Linked DNA regions of Macaca fascicularis. The protein of the gene in region 2 purifies or fractionates together with the protein of the main gene of each other region. This does not show direct contact. Links are inferred from orthologs where the notes say so. Each region holds a gene or a part of one and is shown on either strand. Other genes may lie near its edges. The genes, in order: TNKS1BP1 and CNOT7.

Region 1 (8,823 bases), on a different chromosome or scaffold from region 2:
ACTAAACCCCACTCGCCCTTCACCTCATCTTAGAAGCAGCTTTTCTACCCCGAAGCGCCCGGATCACGTACAAGCTGAGCCCCTCCCGGCATGGGGGCAGGAAAGAGGGGTAGTTAGGAACACAGGGGCTGAGTCCTGCCCCTCCAGGACACAGCTAGGCTCTGTCTCCTCCTACGCCTGTGGCTTTGACCACAAGTTACTTGTCCCACTCTGAACCTCAGTTTCTTTATCTGTAAAATGGGGGTAATAAAAGTACATGAACTGTTCCAGTTTGTTGGCAGAAATACGTGCCTAACACATAGTTAGCACTTGATAAATACAACAATTAGGATAGTCATTATCATCAACACAGGTCCCTGGCCAGAGAGGATGTGCCTCATCTTGTCGCATCTACACCCTTCACCTGATCTAAACTTTAGAGTACCCTGAGGACCAAGACCGTATCCCACCCCACCCTCCACCACCGTTCCAGAGGCAAACATGGTGCTGGAACTACAAAACGTGAATATCCCAGTGTTTTGAAGCCTGAAATGAGGGAGGAGTGAAGCTGGAAAGATTTGTCTAGAGAAACAGCAGCTGACCTTGACCCCAAAGAGACAGGGAGGATGGCCACAGAGGACTGCAAGGCTTGGGCCCAGGGGGACAAGAAAAACCCACAGCCACCAGCCGCGGGAACTGGTGCCAGCCACACTGCCTCTCTGCGTCTCAGTTTCCCTAGTTTTTGTGAGGACTAATCAACAAAGCCCCGTGAGTACTGGGTGTAAGTTACTCCCAACTTACATATGAGGAATCGGAGGCCTGCAGAAGAGAACAAACTTGCCCAAGGTCACAGAGGTGGTGACAGAATCAGAGCGCAAGCCTGGCAGATGGACCTAAAGCCAGACCCCTCTGAGCTATTCTCAAGGACTTCTCATTACAAAGGGAACCTCCAAAATTTTCTTTAAAGACAAAGTGCCCATAGTGGGCCAGGCATGGTGGCTCATTCCTGTAATCCCAGCACTTTGGGAGGCCGAGGTGGGCAGATCACATGAGGTCTAGAGTTCAAGACCAGCCTGGCCAACATGGTGAAACCCTGTCTCTGCTAAAAATACAAAAATTAGCCAGGCGTGGTGATGTATGCCTGTAATCCCAGCTACTCAGGAGGCTGAGGCAGGAGAATCACTTAAACCCAGATGGCAGAGGTTGCAGTGAGCCGAGATCGCACCATTGCACTTCAGGCTGGGAGCCTGGGCGACGACAGACCGAGACTCCATCAAAAAAAAAAAAGAGAAAGTGCCCATAGTGTAGAATTTCCCTACATCAGAATTTCCCTGCTCAGAACACTAGGCTCTTGGATATTAGCCAAATTAGTTTGGAAAATAGTGCATTACTTGTCTTTAAGGTACTAATATATGCTAATATACAGACTAAGTCTTCTGTATGGCCATAGAGTACCCAGCATTTTCCAAACATATTCACAGACTGGTATTTTTTAGGACACATTTCAGAAAAGGCTGCCCGAAAGCATAAAATTCAAACAAGCCCCTGGAACTCCTCTCTAAAGCAACTGTTTCCATTCGGCTTTTGAGGAGCCGCGCTTTCTGTTGCATACAATGAGGCTCACCTGTATGGCACCACGGCTAACCCCTGAACTCGGGTTAAAGTCAACACTGACCAGATTATGGTAACACAACCACAAAAGCCTGGGTGCTTTAAAGGCACAATGAGACCAAAGCTCGGAGAGCTGAGTGCTTCCCTGCTTCTCCAACGCTACCCTCCTCTTCCCCTAACCTAGTTCCACCACAATCCCGGCCCCACCTCCCTCTATCCTAAACTAAGGGAACAAGATGATCACTTTCCACTTCTCAAGAGCCACCCCACACAGAAGGGAAAGGCAGAGAGCTGTGGGTCCCACAGCGGCCACACCTGAAAGCAGTTAACATAAGCAAGTGAGAAAGAGGTACTCCCGACTCTTTGCCCTTAAGGTGTCATACCACCTTTCCACCTGCCAGCGGAGAGGATAAAAATCCCTTTCCTGCCTCACAGAGCAGCTGGGAAGATCAATGAGGTAAGATGTGTGGTTAAGCATGGGGCGTGCAAAGGTCTATGAGTCCCAGGAAGAGAAATCAGGAATAACCACGCCAAGCCTGGACTCTCCCCTGCACCAGGAACATTAAAGTTGGAACTCTGCACTTTCTGAGTCAAACCCTGAGAAACTGAGGCTCAGAGCCCAGCAACCTGCCCAGGACCACAAGGGCCTCCCGACTCCTAGTCCTGCACCCTCCCCTCTTCCTTGCAGTCCTCAATGCAGCCTCAGTGGTTCCCTGTGCTCCATCACCACCCCCTCAACAGCCTGAGTCGTCAGGAAGCTCCCCTTCCTCAAACCCCCCTGGGCATCTCCCTGGGCCCACCTTCCTCTCTCCCTCCTTCTCCTCCATCCCAAATGCCTCTCTGACTCCCCAAGACCACCATGATGCTCTCTAGCCCCTTCCTGCTCCTCTCCTCCCATCACCAACCCCTTCCACTTATAAAAGCCCCCACCCCCACACTTCCCTTGCCTTCCCCACATACCCAGTGAGACGCTCCCACTGTGGGCTGGAAAAGGAAACATGTGCTACTCACTGAAGGGAATAAAAGCGAATCTCAATGGATGCAAATGTTAACAAAACGGATGCAATGCCTTTTTAGCACCTTTCTCAGCTGCAAAATCATCTCAGCTGGTTTTAAAACATCCATGAAACAGATTGTGGTTGGCTTGCAAAGCCTTTGGAAAGTTCTTTCAGCAACTTTGCACATAGAGGCCAAAGTCATGGGGCCAGGTCCCCATACCCTTCAGGTTCTTGAACGTGCTATTCCAGGCTTCATGACAGGCAAGAAGCACAAAGTCCCTAACCTCTTTGAGAACCCGTGGGTGCCACTGTCCACTCCACTCCTGGCTGTGGTGGCCCCAGCCAAGAAGAGACAGAATTCTCTGCCCTACACCTATGAAACCACCTGTGGCTTCAGGGCTGAGGGGCCTGCGGAACGGCTACTGTGTACAAGAGTAGAACCCACCAGAAACCATCCAAGCTATGACACGCACCATTTCCCCATCACAGTCACAATTCTAAATCACCAAGAAAGCTCAAACATGGGTTGCAAAAGTAACACATTAGTCATCCTTCCCAAAAAGAACTCACCTGTATGTGTATCGTATTTCAATTTTTTAAGTAGAATTAAAAATTCTTAGTCTAAAATGTCTCAATCTTCCAAACACTAAAAGTCCTCAGGAAAAACTGTTTCTTCCCTCCTCAGAAAGGTTCCAATTTCTTGGATAACCCTCACATGTTCCCTCCCACACTTGGGAGGGGGCTCCGTTCGTTACCTGGCTCCGAAGCTGAGGGCTTCTCCTGTCTCCATTCCACGGTCTGCAGGGTGTGGCTCCAAGGAACACGAGGAGTCATCTTCACCCTGGGTCTCTGGCCCACTTGTCTCACCAACCCCCAGCTCCCTGGCCTCCAAGGGGTCTCTGGCCTCCAGGCCAGGGGACAAGCTGCCATTGTGCCTCAGGCTGGGCTCTGGGCACTGGCTGACCCCGCCCACCCCATGCTCCCTGGCTTCACTCGGAGTCCCAAAGAGCTCCACATTCCGGGGAGCCAAGTCCCGGGTCCAGTCCATCTGCCCCACCCCACATCCCCGTAGCCCCTGAGAACCTCCAGACTCTGGGTCACAGGACACCTCCAAATCCCTCAGGCCCAGATTGTTACCCCAGTCCATCTGGCCCACCCCAAGCTCTTTGTGCTCTCCAGGACTGCAGACTGCCCCTGGGGCCATGTTTCTCAGCCCGAGGTCAGGTGTCCAGTCTGCCTGTCCAACTCCACGCTCCCTTGATTTAAGGAACTCTCCGGCCTCCACACCTGACCAGTCGGTCTGCCCCACGCCACTCTCTCTGGCCTGGCTGTGGCCTCCTCCTTTCCCGACCTCAGTCAAATCTTTGCTCTTCACATTCACATCAGAAGTCCAGTCCTTCTCCCCAGCTCCAATTCCCCCGGGCTCTTCAGACCCTCCACTTTCCAAACAGCCGGCCAGGTTCATGTCTCTCAAGCTCAGGCCGCCTGACCAGCCCATCTGTCCCACGGCATCCTCCCTGGCCTCACTTGAGCCCCCGGAACCCACACAGCTGGATACTTCCAAGTTCCTGAGACCCAGCTGGTCAGTCCAGTCCACCGAGCCAGCTGTGGTCTTCCCAGGAGGCACAAAGTGACCACCTCCCATCTTGCTAGAAGGGCTAAAGCCAGCACCACTCACTCTGTCGTTGCCAATGATGCCAAACTGATAGCTCCTCTCACTGGCCTCGAGGCAGAAGTCCGGGCTCCAGTCCTGCTGCCCTGGGCTAAATGCTGCCTCTCTCCGGGGGCCAACACTGAGGCTAAACTCACCGACCCAGCCTCGCTTCCCCATCTCCCCATCTTCCAGGCCAGCACTGCCAGGGCCCTGAGCCCCTGCCTGCTGTCTCTCCTGATGCCCTCCCACCTCCCGGCTAGCATCACTGTTTTGCCAGCTGCTCTGGTCTCTCTGCCCGAGTGCCCCATCCGGCACGTGGGCAGTGCTAGGACTGAACAAGCCCCCTGATTCTCTCTGTCCTGGCCGGCCAGCATCCCTGCTGCCCTCTCCAAGGTTGTCTTCCACACTTGGAATCTTCTTCTCAAATTCCTCATCCTGTTGCTGGGCTTCCTCGGGGCTGAACCCAGAGCTCAAGGGTCTTGTTCCAAAGCCTCTTTCCTGGGCGTCAAGGGTCCTGGAGCTGCCACCACTGCTGTAGTCCCTTATCCAAGCGCTCTTCCCAAACTCCTGTTCCTGCGGCTCTGCATCCCGGCTGCCATAGGTGCCAAGTGACACATCTCTCTTCTGAAACTCCCAGTCCTGCTCATCGGCATCCTGGCTGCTGTACCTGCCATGGTGGTCCCTCTTCCCCAAATTTTGACCCTGCTCGTTGGCATCTTGGCTGGCATAAGCACCCAGAGAATCTCTTTTCCCAAATTCCCAGTCCCCAAGGCTTACATCTCGACTACTGTAAGTACCCAGTGAATCTCTCTTCCCAAATTCCTGGTCCTGGAGTTCCGCATCCCGGCTGGAGTAAGTGCCCTGGGAATCCCTCTTTCTGAACTCCCAGTCCTGAACATCTGCCTCCTGGCTCCGCTGAGTGCCAAGCTGGGCTGGCTTTCCAACTACCCGGTCCTGGGCTGTGAGCACCCCTGGGGCAGACACTTCACTCTGGTCTTGGCTGCTGCTGGCCTCCATCTCCTCCTGGCCGATGCCACACCTGCTGGCCCACTCCCTGGTGCTCCCTTCCCCAGCTCCTTGCCCATACTTGCTGGTCCAGTCCCTCTCTCCGAGACCTGGGTCTCCTCTAGGGCTTGCACCCCCAAGGCCATAGTCCTGAGAAGCACCTTGACACCAGTTGGAAGGACTGAAACTGCTGGGCTGTGGGTCTCCTGTGATCCCAAATTCACTCTGCAGATCTTTCTGGGACCAGCCAAGGAGTCCCTGGGAATAAGAAAAAAAACAGACAAAGAAACAACGATTAGATTCAATCGGGGTGGGAGTCAATCCAGCAGAGTCAGCACTGCCTAGTGCCTGAAAGCCCCACTTTGGCCACAGAAAGCTGTGTGACCTTGAGCAAATAACTTAACCACTCGGGGCCTCAGCGTCCTCATCCTTAAATGAAGATAATTCCTACTGCGTGGGGCCGGTGTGAGAGGATTAAACGAAATCATTCAGACCAAGCACTCGGCATAATGCCTGGCATGCAGTGGGCACTCAATCGATGGTCCCATGGTCATGTTTACAACCCTTGGGCAATACTCGGCTAACAGCCAGGAGTGGTCTTCACACAGGAATGGCGGGCAACGTACTTTCCTTTTGATTAGGAGAGGTCAAGATTCAAAGCCTCTCTGCAACCTCCCTTGCAAGGCAAGGTTCCAACACCAGTGAGAGCTTTTCCAGCCCATCCTCCCCCACGCCCCACCTGACCCCCATCCTCCTGTAAGTACCCAGCCCCTTCGTCCCCAGCCAAAGTGCCGTCTGCTCAATCCTCCCCAGGAAGACCTCTCAGCCCTCACCTCGGCCCAGGAAAGACAGGAGGGGCAGCTTCTCGCACAGGGGAAAATCCCAGCCAGGGCTTCTTGCACCCCAACCCCCACCTCACGCTCCCTGACTCACCCTCGTGGGCGGGAGAGCCCTGGGCTCAGGGCTTCGGAGCCGGCCAGCCTCATCCCTCAGCGCAGCGTTGGCCAGTAGCCGCTCCAGGACAGACATGCTGGCCTCCCCGTCCCCAGGCTGGGCCATGGCCCTCCGCCCCCCGCCCGCCTCGGGGCTACTGGGTGCGGCCAGCCGGGCGCAGGGATAGGGCTGGGCTGCTCCCCACGCTGGGACCTGTCCGACGGCTCTGGCAGCGCTGGCTCTCCCTCACCCTGGCCCTGCTCCCTTCGGAGCAGCTGCAGCTTGGGCAGCCCCGCCCAGGAGCCAGTTGAGTCACCCACATCCCGGGACAGACACACCTACTGCAGGAGTCAGCTTAACCCCTTCCTGCTCCTCCTCCTCCCCGCCCCCTAGCCTCCAGAGGCCCCCTGGCTCCTCCTTTCCTGCAGCCCCGCCCCTTACAGCCCAGGCCCGGCTTGAGAAATAAATTTCAAAAGCCACCTGGCCCCCGGCCCTTAAATTCAGAGGCAGCCTGGTAGGAGAAAGGGCACTGGGCCGGGAAACGGCGCTGGCCCGGGCCCAGCCACCAACTTGCTGGGTAACTGCACAAGGCTCGCCTCCTCTGAGGCCCAGCTGCCTGTCTACAAAGCAGGTCTGGAGCTCAATGTTAATAACGTTTGTAAAAGCCAACACGTATTAAGCACTTAGGATGAACCAGGCACTATTCTTAGCACTTTAGACATTACAGCTCATTGAACCCTTGCCAACACCCTTGGAGGTAGAGCTCATCTTATCCGCATTTTACAGATGTGGAAACTGAGGCAGAGGGCAGAAACGTCACTCTTTCAAGGTCACACCTGGGCAAAGGAAAGCAGAGCCAGGAGACCAACCCAGGAGCCCACGCTCTAAATGGCTACACTATTTTGCCTTGAACAATATTCCCATAATGAGAGACTGAATACTCAGCACCTGCCACACACTGTACTGAGAGCTTTCCCCCTCTTGTTTACCCACAATATAACTCTAAGAGGCCGGCGCTACTATCATGAAAGCACTCTGAAGCTTAGCAGTTAAGGCACATTCTTCCCAAGACCAATCAGCTAGCGAATGCTGAAGCTGGGATACAGCCTCACACGAAACCCCACACACCGTCCTGTGCGGTTCTGCAGAGCTACGATCTGCAGGTCCACAGCTGCCTTGCTTGCTACCACAGCCCAAGCTCTCAACACGTAAAATCCATGTTCAAAGAATGAAGCCCACCCAAGCCCTGGCCTCTGTCCCCAGAAGTCCCACTCTCCCTATGCCCCTTCTCACCTCAGAGCAGGTACTTGGGGACTGTGCGTCCTTCAGCTCAGATCCAGCTCCCCGTCTTGCACCGCCACCACTAGGTGGTGGTGAAGCCAGGAGGTCGTCCAGCCAGCGGGAGCTGCTTTCAGGGCCCGGAGGCTCGGGGGATGCCCTACACAAGTCTTGAGCCTCTGTCCTGGGTTGGGTGGTCTCGGCCCGGGCTAGGGTCACGGCCTCCTCCTCGATAGGCAGTGCCTGCCCAGGCTCAGGGGTATCAGCAAAGAGAACACAGGGCTGGTCAGGGGGTGCTGGCTGCTCCTGCCCCAGGACCGGCTCCAGGATGGGCAGAGCTGCCTCCCTGGTAGCCAGGGGGAGAGGGGACTCCTGTCCAGCCAAGGGCTCCTGCGACTCGTATCTCTCCTCTGCCTGCTGCAAAGGTAACCCAGGTGAGCCCTCAGTTGTAGGTAGGGGCTCAAGGGGAACAGCTGGGAATTGAGGTTGACTCTCCCCATCGCCCTTCTCGGGGAGGGACATGCTTGGATCATCCCCTTGCACCCAGGAACTAGGCCTTCCTGACCCACTTGGAGCTGACCCGGCCCCTTGCCCCTGCTGAGACACTCCTTCTTCCCTGCTGGAAACAGCCAAGTTGCCAGCCTCAGCAGCCTCAGCAGCCTCACTGGCTTCAGTGATGGGGGAGGGAGGCGGGGAGTCCAGCCGCCACACGCCCAGACCCGAGGGCCGCGTGGGGAAGGTCCATTCGAAGGACTGTGATAAGCTCCAGTTGGACTCTGCTCCAAAGGGACGATCCAGGGCCAACTGGCTCCCCTGGCCTTGGGGCAGGGCAGCCAGCGAGCCCCCCAGCTTCTCCTGGTCCTGGCTGGGTGACTGGAGCACACCTTCAGAGAATCGGCGCTGAACCAGGCTGGTGGGGCGGAGGTGTGCGTCACCCTTGGCCTCCTCCTCCCCGCCAGATGGAAACGTCCGAGTGAGATCAAGCAACTCACCCACCTCGATCAGGGGCCGGGGCGAGGTGGCAGGGGGCTGATCCAGGCTGTGGGGCTCCGAGACCTCAGGGGGAGGGCTGCTGGGTCTGGGGGCCTCTGGAGCCCCCTCAGCAGGGAGCCCGGGGCTGGGGGTGTGGTGGGAGCCCTCCTCAGGCAGGGCTGCACTTGGAGCTGATGGAGTCACAGCGGGGCAAGGAGAAGCCTGGGAAGCATCAGGACTCTGGGCTTCCAGAAGCTGCAAGTGGCAGGGAGAACTCTTATCGGGTGAGTGAAGATGGGGAGAGCCAGGGCCTGAGCCTGAGGCTTCTGCGGGGAGGCCTGGGCTGGCAGGGCCTCCATTCTCTGAGGAAGGGGCTGGACTTGAGGGAATCCA
Region 2 (8,823 bases):
TAAAAGCCATTTTCAGTTCATGGGCCACACAAAAACAGGCAGCAAGCTGATTCTGGCTGCGGGCCATAGTTTGACAACCCTTGCTCTAGTAGACTTAACAGACTGTATGAGTCTGTAATTAATGGTTCAGGAACACTAAAAAAATTATCCAAATATCTTACATCTAAAACCTAGACTCTACAAACATTCAGACTGTCTGGAACAAAATAAAGTAAAGCTTAGACCCAGTAAAAGTCAAAATGTTCCTCTACAGAAGTTATAAAATACTATACAGGTACTCAACCTACAATGAGGTTACATCTGAAAAAATACTAACATTCATTTAATGCAGACAACAGCATACAGTCCCCCAATTTACAATGGTTCAACTTACAAACTTTGACTTTGCGATGGTGCAAAAGCAATACACATTCAGTAGAAACTGTAACCCCATCATAGGTCCTAAGGAGCTCCTAAACTTTTGATGGGGTTACAATACACCCACTGTAAAGTTGAAAAATCATTAAGTTGAAAGATAGTTAAGTTAGGGATTATCTATACTTTTTAGGGACAGAGCCAGAACTGATACAAGTTATGAGATTGAGCAACGATGTGGCTACTAAAAAGGTTTCACATTGATTTCTCAAAGAATAGGTAACTATAAATGTTAGTTTTCTCAATAAAAACTAACACTGAAATCACAAGCGAAAAGAAGTTTCACTTCCTTTTTAGCAAAGACAAAATGAAAAGCAGCCAGTCAGAAACTTGCTACATTGTGTTAGATTTTTTAAAGAGCCACAGTTACACCAGATGTATTTCCTTTTAAGTATATCCTTATGAATAAATGCATTCCTGGAAAGGAGAAATAGAAATCCTTACTTAGCTAGTTGAGGTACTCATAAAGAACAAGAATAAGCCAACACTTGAAATGCAGAAAACTCAGACTGATTTTTCAATTAATGGACTAATAATCATCTAGGGTTAATGAAGGAAGTTACTGAATTCTGTTGAGTTGCCCAAATAAAAATGAACAATATCCCCCAAATGAGTATTTCCAAAACAAAATCACCAGTCATCAACATTTATAAGAAAACATTTTGAAGCCTTTATTTACAAAAGCTTTAAAAACAAATAATACCCTCTGTTTTGCAAATAATGTTTTGTTTAAAAAGGACCACCCAGTTACAGCACTGTAATATCATGAATAAAGAATGTACAAGGGAGACAAACCAATGTGACTAACATTTGAAGATTTGCTAATATTACTGATTGAAGTGTAGGTAACACACATTATAACTTGTAGTCCATCATTTCAGGGTACAGTTAATGATTACCAAAGTCTTCCTACACATGCTCTGGTCTGGTCACATATTCTGCATGGCTAAATATTTCACAGTCTCTTTTGTCAATATATATAAAATAGATTGCAAAGATATACACAAAAAAATAAACAAGCATTACACTCCTCAGGTAATTTTATTAGCTATATATATATATGAGAATATATATATATATATAATTTGTTGTTTTGTACCAAATCTCTCCATTATTTACCTTTGTAGCAACTATGAAAGCGCAATTTTTGTCTTCTAATTTAATCTGGTACAAAATATACCTAAAGACTTGTTATCTTTGGATTTTAATAAAATTGATTTGTGTAACCAACAAATCAAAAGCATCATAAGTATGGCTACAAAATAAAATTTTAAAAAAAGACAAGGGTAAATGGTGATGGAATAAAAATAAGCAGATCAAGGGAAGTGTGCTATCATAAAATAACTGTAGCTTCAACATCTTGAGTACCAGTTTCCTGGCAGATACTAAACATCCAATCACAAGGGATTTTTCCTGAAGGGTGTAAAGCTGGTTTGAAAATTCTTCAGTCACAGAGCAGCCTACACATGCCAATTAGAAACTGACAGACACTAGATGTGCTTGGAAGATTAAACACTACGTACAGAAACAGCAGTTACTAAGCTCCTCAGTAGTTTCTTGTCCTTTTTTTTTTAGTTTCGCTGAATCGACAGTTTGCACAATGAATATGCTATATTCTGTGAGTCAAAACCAAGTAAATACTGTGTCAAGGTGGCAGATGGTCATTTTTCCAGCTAAGATCAAGAAAAAACAAAATTTTTGATAAAACAGAGGTTTTGAGTCAGAAACGCTCTCTAAAGTGCAAAACTGATGGTCCACAATCTCAAATAGCTAAAACTCCTGCAGAATGGAAGAGAGAGACATGAAACAGGGAAATAAATTACAGTCAGTGCTAGTCAATTTAGGAAAAGGGAAAAATAAACCAAACTCAAGTAGGTAAAGTTTATCAAAATATTCAGTGATGTAGCTTTCCCCACTCTCTGTCACACACGCTTGCTAACAAGTATATTAAATTAAGGCCAAATTTAACCTGAATGAGTTTTTGTTTTGGTTTTTTGTTTTGTTTTGTTTTTTATTAAGATCTGAGATAGGAACGGTCATACTTAGTAGTGAAAGGTAGACAATAAAATGGGCCATGAAAGGGGGGGGGAAAGGTACTGTCTATTGTTCAAGGGATTCAACCAGAGATAAAACCTATATACAAGCATGTGTGTAGCTCAAAATAAAATAAAAAGACTATTTCATGTCATGACTGCTTGTTGGCTTCCTCTTCATATGCATTCCCTGTGCCATTCTGTACATAGGATGAACCAGAACCAAGGCCATACAAATGACCACAATATTTGGCATCATCAATATGATCTTCAAAGAACATCTAAAAAGGAATTTTGAAGAAAAAAAAAGATAATTTTAACCAAAGGGAACCACTTGTAATTTATATTTCAGCAATGTAAGTACTGACTGTTCACTGAGATAATGATGGCTCTTTTCTATGGTGTTCCTTTGAGGCTACACATTTCAGTTCAATGAGTAAAACTAATGTCCTCAAAAGTACAGAGCTCAGAAACCAAAGTAAGAGACTATGAAAAAAATGTACAAATGCATGTCTTTTCCATTTAGACCATTTTTATAAGAATTTGTCATCGTGGATAAATAAATATTTATTCCATTAATTAACAATACTCGAGTAAGAATGAAGAAAGCCAATGATGGTGGGGAAAAAAAAGTTTAGGTTCATAAGCTGTCTTAAATCTACAGGCAAGGCTGAGCTGGCTATAAATAAACTGTAAAGTCATGGACAGTAAAATCCAAACATTCACACTCTATTACTTTACTGTCATTGAAGAAGCCAAGAAAAATAAAAATAAATTAGTGCCAGAAATCCACCTTTAGTTAAATAAACCATTAAGACATTTTTAAAATGCAAAGCTAAAAAATCTAAAAGGTTATTTCAATTATCTAATGAAACAATGGGAAGGACTCCAAAACAAAATGTTTACGTGTCATGAATGGATAGTCCAAATCACTTCTGAATCAACACTACTTAGCAAAACAGCTTTAATGCTTTCTATTATCAATACATTGCTCCAAAAAGTTTTTAAATTCTCAGTCTCAGTCAATTCTTTCATGTCTAAGAGAAAATATACTCAAATCCACAGAGAATTTTTGCAAAAAGGAAAACTTAGAGCCAAGAAAAACCTCACTTGTTTTTGCACAATTTTCCTGTTTACCTATAGCTAGGTGTATCTGTGCATATCACTTAATTACTTAAGAGTGAATAATGGGTTCATTAAGTTCCATTCTTCCATACCTAACATGCCTTTTGCCATTTAAGGAGGGTTTTCCTAATGGGGTTTCTGATTCAACTAGGACGTTGGATTTATTTTATCCCTTCAGAATTCAACTCCCCTCTTAAGACTCAATCCAGTAAAAAGCCTGAGTCCTTCTCTATAAAATCTTCAAAGCACTGAAGAATGACATGAGCAAATAACATATTTATCACCAATTTAAAGCCTAAAAGAGGGCCATGCTAGAAGAAACCTAATACAAAGATTCCTTGCCTTGTAGAAGCAGCACCAATGGGAGTTAGAACTCCGGAGTTTTCCCACTAGTAATGTGTTTGATCATGGAAGTTATTAGCCTGTTTTCTCACCTGAGAAATAATATGGTTGGACCTACATGATTTCTCAGGTAGTTTATGTTTTAAAATTTTTGGTTCTATGATGAACATGTTCTCCCAGTTCCTTCTGAACTACATTTCAAGATGACTTATTTTTGAATACTTTTAAGTGTAGTGGATGTGACTCATATGGTATCTCTAAATATATCTTTACTTAGTAGGTACTTGTTGCCCAAAATCTTTGGCCATAAGATTTTTAATGTTCTCAACCTAACAACCAACTGAGAAAAAGGCAGTGATGTCTTCATACTTCTCTCATTTTGAAAAAGGCCATTCCTGTGAGCAATGAATCAGATCCTGCCTGATGTTGTGGTCCTATCCGTTCCAGCTCTAACTGTTCTGCCACCTCCTGTAATCCACCCTAGAAGAAATAAAAATTGCTTGTCAAAGAGGAAAATACTGCAACGCCTACTTTCACAAATTACAAACTTAGACACTGACCAAAATAAAAATAAACTTTAGTATGTAAAGGTGAATTTTATAAAGATTGGGGGGAAGAAACAGAGAATGTGAATTACTAATGTATTTGTTGAATGTGGAAACAGTATCATTTAATAGAAAACAAGATCCTAATTGGGAAAATGTATCTTCATTATGTTTCAAGGTGTATGACAAGTAAATAACTTTCCTAGATATGGGAGGGAAGCAGACCATATATAGGGTAATATTTATCAAGTACACTCATGGTCTATCAATCCTGTAATAATTGTAAAACTGCATAGCTAGTATAACACCATTGTTTCCATATTTTCTTAAACTTCCCACCATCCATTTGTAGTTTTCACTTAATTTTTACAAAACAAAGCCATTATGAATAACCAAATCATTAAGAATATGCTAAATGCTTAACTATGGTTTTGTTTGTTAAGATGCGTATATGCACACAACTCCTTAGAGTGGTCTGCTATAATGCACCTATGTTAATACTGCTAAGATTAAAAAAGAAAGATGAGAGTGAAAAGAAAGGAAGGGAAAGACAGTAACAGAAGGAAAGAAAGTGGGAGGAGAGGGAAGGAGAGTAAAGGGAGGGGAGAATGAGGATAGAGAGTGAAGTAAAGAAACACCAACAACAAAACAAAAATTCTTCTCTAAATTGTTAAGGCCTCCACCAGCAAAATGGCCCTTCTGTGCATCACAGCTTGAAACAATGCTTTACACAGCAGTTGCTTCTGTGCTAAAAATAGCACGAGGATTAGGTATCATTAGCAGCTGCTCAGGAGAACACAGAATAGAACTGAATAGAACAGCATGGCTGACTATAGGTCAAAAAGCACCTTTGTTGTTAACCTGAATTTTAACATAGCAGCTTACTCAGGACACATTGAGAATATCTGTACTTAGAAACTTCCCAGTAACAACCACGTAACGAGCAATAATTTGGTCCCCTGTTCCTGAAAACTGTCATTATACAGACATGTCAATAAAAAAAAAAAGTCAAGTGAAAACATGTAGGCCTCAGCATGCAGTGTGCTTTCACAGGGTGGACTGTTTCTCAAGTAAGGGACACCCTACTGCAAGTTCACTTACTGGAAGTCCCCTCAAATTACACAGAAGTCTACTGCTACAAACATAAACTAACCTTTCTTGAAAATTTCTCTAGTCATATGCTGACCATATCCCTTGTTAAAGGTAAACACTGGCCAAAAGAAAGCTTCTCATCTTATCTGTTAAGACCAGTGTAACCAACGTGGTGAAACCCTATCTCTACTAAAAATACAATAATTAGCTGGGCGTGGTCATGGGCAGTTGTAATTCCAGCTACACAGGAGGCTGAGGCAGGAGAATCACTTGAACCTAGGAGGCAGAGGTTGCAGTGAGCTGAGATCACCCCACTGCACTCCAGCCTGGGTGACAGAGCGAGACTCCATCTCAAAAACAAAAAAATTAATGTTTAGAGTTTAAAAATACACATTATGCAGCGTCAGACTGTTACTACTATCTAGGCAGGACCTACACATTTCCCATCATACTTAACTGTAAGAAGCTGACATCTTTTGGCCAGAAAAAGAACCTTTTAGCTATGTAGTTTTATCCTAGGAACATTATCCTATCACTAGAACTGACACAATAATTTCTAGCCAAGATAAGCCAAAAGGAAAGAAAAACTCTTTTGCCACATTACTGAATACATCTGCACATCTCTGGCCACCTTAGATTCTATCTTGTAAGAAGATATTCTATGCGTGCTGGGAGAAAGAAAGAACTCACACTGGTGTGCATATGAGAGCCTCACTGTCCTCTGATGTTTGTTTTTGTTTGTGATTTTCAATCTGGCAAGCAATGACAAGAATCTGACCTAAGCTAGAAATCTGTTGAATATTCTGCCTTCTGCCAAGACATACTGAAGCTCTGAAAAAACAATTCCCTATAAATTACCATGTATGCAAGAAAAAAAAATCACATGACCAGATAATATAATTGCATTTAATGTAATACTGTAAAATATGGTTTAAAACAACATCCCAGCCTAGGCTCTCATGACAGTCCCTTGGTCTGAACAGCATGCTGCTATAGATAATGCCACCTGAAGCCTTACTTTGAGATTTTTGCAGCTCTTCATGAGGTACTTCACATCATAAATTACAGGAAAAAACAATCGAAGGATCTCAAAGAAGTCAAGTTCTTCTTCAGGCAAGTTAGAGTTGGTTAGGATTTTGATTAAGTAGCCAAAGTCGTAACCACTATAAAAGGGTTAAAAGAATAGAGAAGAGGGACACATAAATACCATAAAGATTAAAAAAAAAAAAGTTTATCTGATTCAAATTTAAGCAAGTCACACTATAGTCCTTCCAAAAACATTAAAGAGAAGTGCACACAAGAACAGAGAAAACAAACATTGAGAACTATAATGGGAAAATGCTGTCATTTTACAGTATTAAGAACTTTATCACTTTATTATTCAGAGATATCAACACAGATCTACACTATCAAACCAAGCCTGTGGTCACGAAAATACTAGTTTGTTGATATTTGAATTGAGAACACCAAAAGAGCATCAAGCTGCCCATAGATGTCTCAAAATACTTTTTTAAATAACTATGGAAATGGAGAAATAAAGATGTATGGAAACTTGGCCAGAGGAGTTAGCAAATGTAGCAAGACAACTGGCATTCGATAGGCAAAAGTAATGCAAGACATCCCATCTTTTTCATAAGGTGGTCATATATATTATCCAAAGAATAAGACTGTAACAAGGTATTTTCACTTCTCTTAAATGACTATGTTATTAAGTAGTCTCTCCCTCTCTTCCGTCACAATTCTCTTCCTCTCAGTGTGGCTCCCTAAGAGTCATTATTAATGGAAATGTTGCACATGGAAGAAGTGAAGGGTAGTAAAAAAATAACTACTCTCCTCATCATAAAATGCAAACTCCTACATTCTCAAATCCAGACCTCTTCTCCCTTTGGCCTTTTTTCACAGCTTTCTGTCTCCCTACACTTCCAGGCCACGTAGACACATCCATCCCTCGTCTACTTTTCCTTACAGGACCTCTGACAGGAAGCCTATAAGGCATCTGCTTACTAACATTAAAAGTTTAAGATCATATTAGCACTTAGGATTTATAAACTTCCTAAACTATTCCTTATTACTTGAAATAGATTAGAACATGAGGAAAACAGCTAATGATATTTAATGGAATAAAATCTTGTATCTTAATAAATATTTAAATATATCAGTCTAACTTAGATTCTAAACTCCAAGACGACATGAATGAAACCTGTTTGTTTTCATTCATCTTAATACCCCAGTGCCTAGTGCACTGTATTTTGTCGGAGTATTTTTTAAATGAAAAAGTATGTCATATATAGTAAAAGGATAGGACAATACTTTCCAGTTCTTTTACATCTTCATATCTAGGGAAGAAAAAATGACTAAAAAACAGTTATTTGTATCAAGAGTCTTAAGTTGTGTCTCCTAAGGTATGGGTTCAAGTAGAAAAGAGACAAAAAAAGATGATAAGTAAGAATCAGTGTGTTCACTACCTACAACTCAACAGTTTCTGCTTAGTACACATCAAAGTTGCCCACATGAAATCCTTCACTATAAACATCCCACAGATCAGAGATACAAACTAAACCAAGGAGACTCAGATTTAAAATAAATGTGTGAAGTGGATCAAGTGTAAGAGTATTAACATCTATGTAACATAAAGCTTTTTCAAAACCTAATGAAAGTAACCATTCTGAAGGTTACTTTTAGTCCCTGGGTGGTCAGTTTAGTCTACTTAGATGGGAAAACTCTTTCTCATACATGGAAGTCTATTTCACAAAATCGGAACTAGTTTCCTTACCAGAAACACTCTTAAAAAATCTAGTTTCATAACAATAAAGAACTTAAAACCACCAGTTATTGAGAATTTACTGTTTATAAAGTTATCTTAGTGACCATTAAAACAAGTCTTCAATGTATTTCTTCAAAGGGATGCCTTATCACTTTATTTTTTAAAAAATTAAAATCTACCTCCACACCCATCCCTAGCATTTTCTATGCTGTTTTGTGATAGTACTTATCACTATCTAACAAATCAATGTGAACTCCATTTTTAAAAACTGTCTGCCCACCCCCATGAGAATATAAACTCCATGAGGAAAATAATTGTTGTCTGTTTTATTCACAGCTTAATTCCTAGAATCTCATCTCAGTGCCTGCCATATGGTAAATACTCAATAAATTTTTGTAAATGTAAATAAATGGTTTCCCCTGTAGAACATTAAAAACTAAGGTGTAGAAACAGTAAAAGAAAACCCTAGGTAACACCAATTCCAAAGGCACTGCTGGATTTAAACCGG

Evidence for each region.
Region 1: the proteins of CNOT7 (region 2) and TNKS1BP1 purify together in Homo sapiens (affinity purification with mass spectrometry; 4 studies listed by BioGRID and IntAct, counting the BioPlex papers as one, with this or other methods). This does not show direct contact. The link is inferred for Macaca fascicularis from reciprocal best matches to the Homo sapiens genes CNOT7 and TNKS1BP1.

Annotation. Positions count from the first base shown.
Region 1 is NC_088388.1:16,304,472-16,313,294, reverse strand, and holds part of TNKS1BP1 (182 kDa tankyrase-1-binding protein), read right to left. Parts: coding exon 7,474-8,823; intron 6,434-7,473; exon of another isoform or gene 6,307-6,433; coding exon of another isoform or gene 6,181-6,306; intron 5,506-6,180; coding exon 3,344-5,505; intron 1-3,343.
Region 2 is NC_088382.1:20,247,623-20,256,445, forward strand, and holds the end of CNOT7 (CCR4-NOT transcription complex subunit 7), read right to left. Parts: intron 6,715-8,823; coding exon 6,570-6,714; intron 4,395-6,569; coding exon 4,284-4,394; intron 2,729-4,283; coding exon 2,600-2,728; 3' UTR 1,061-2,599; downstream 1-1,060. UniProt on the Homo sapiens protein: Has 3'-5' poly(A) exoribonuclease activity for synthetic poly(A) RNA substrate. Its function seems to be partially redundant with that of CNOT8.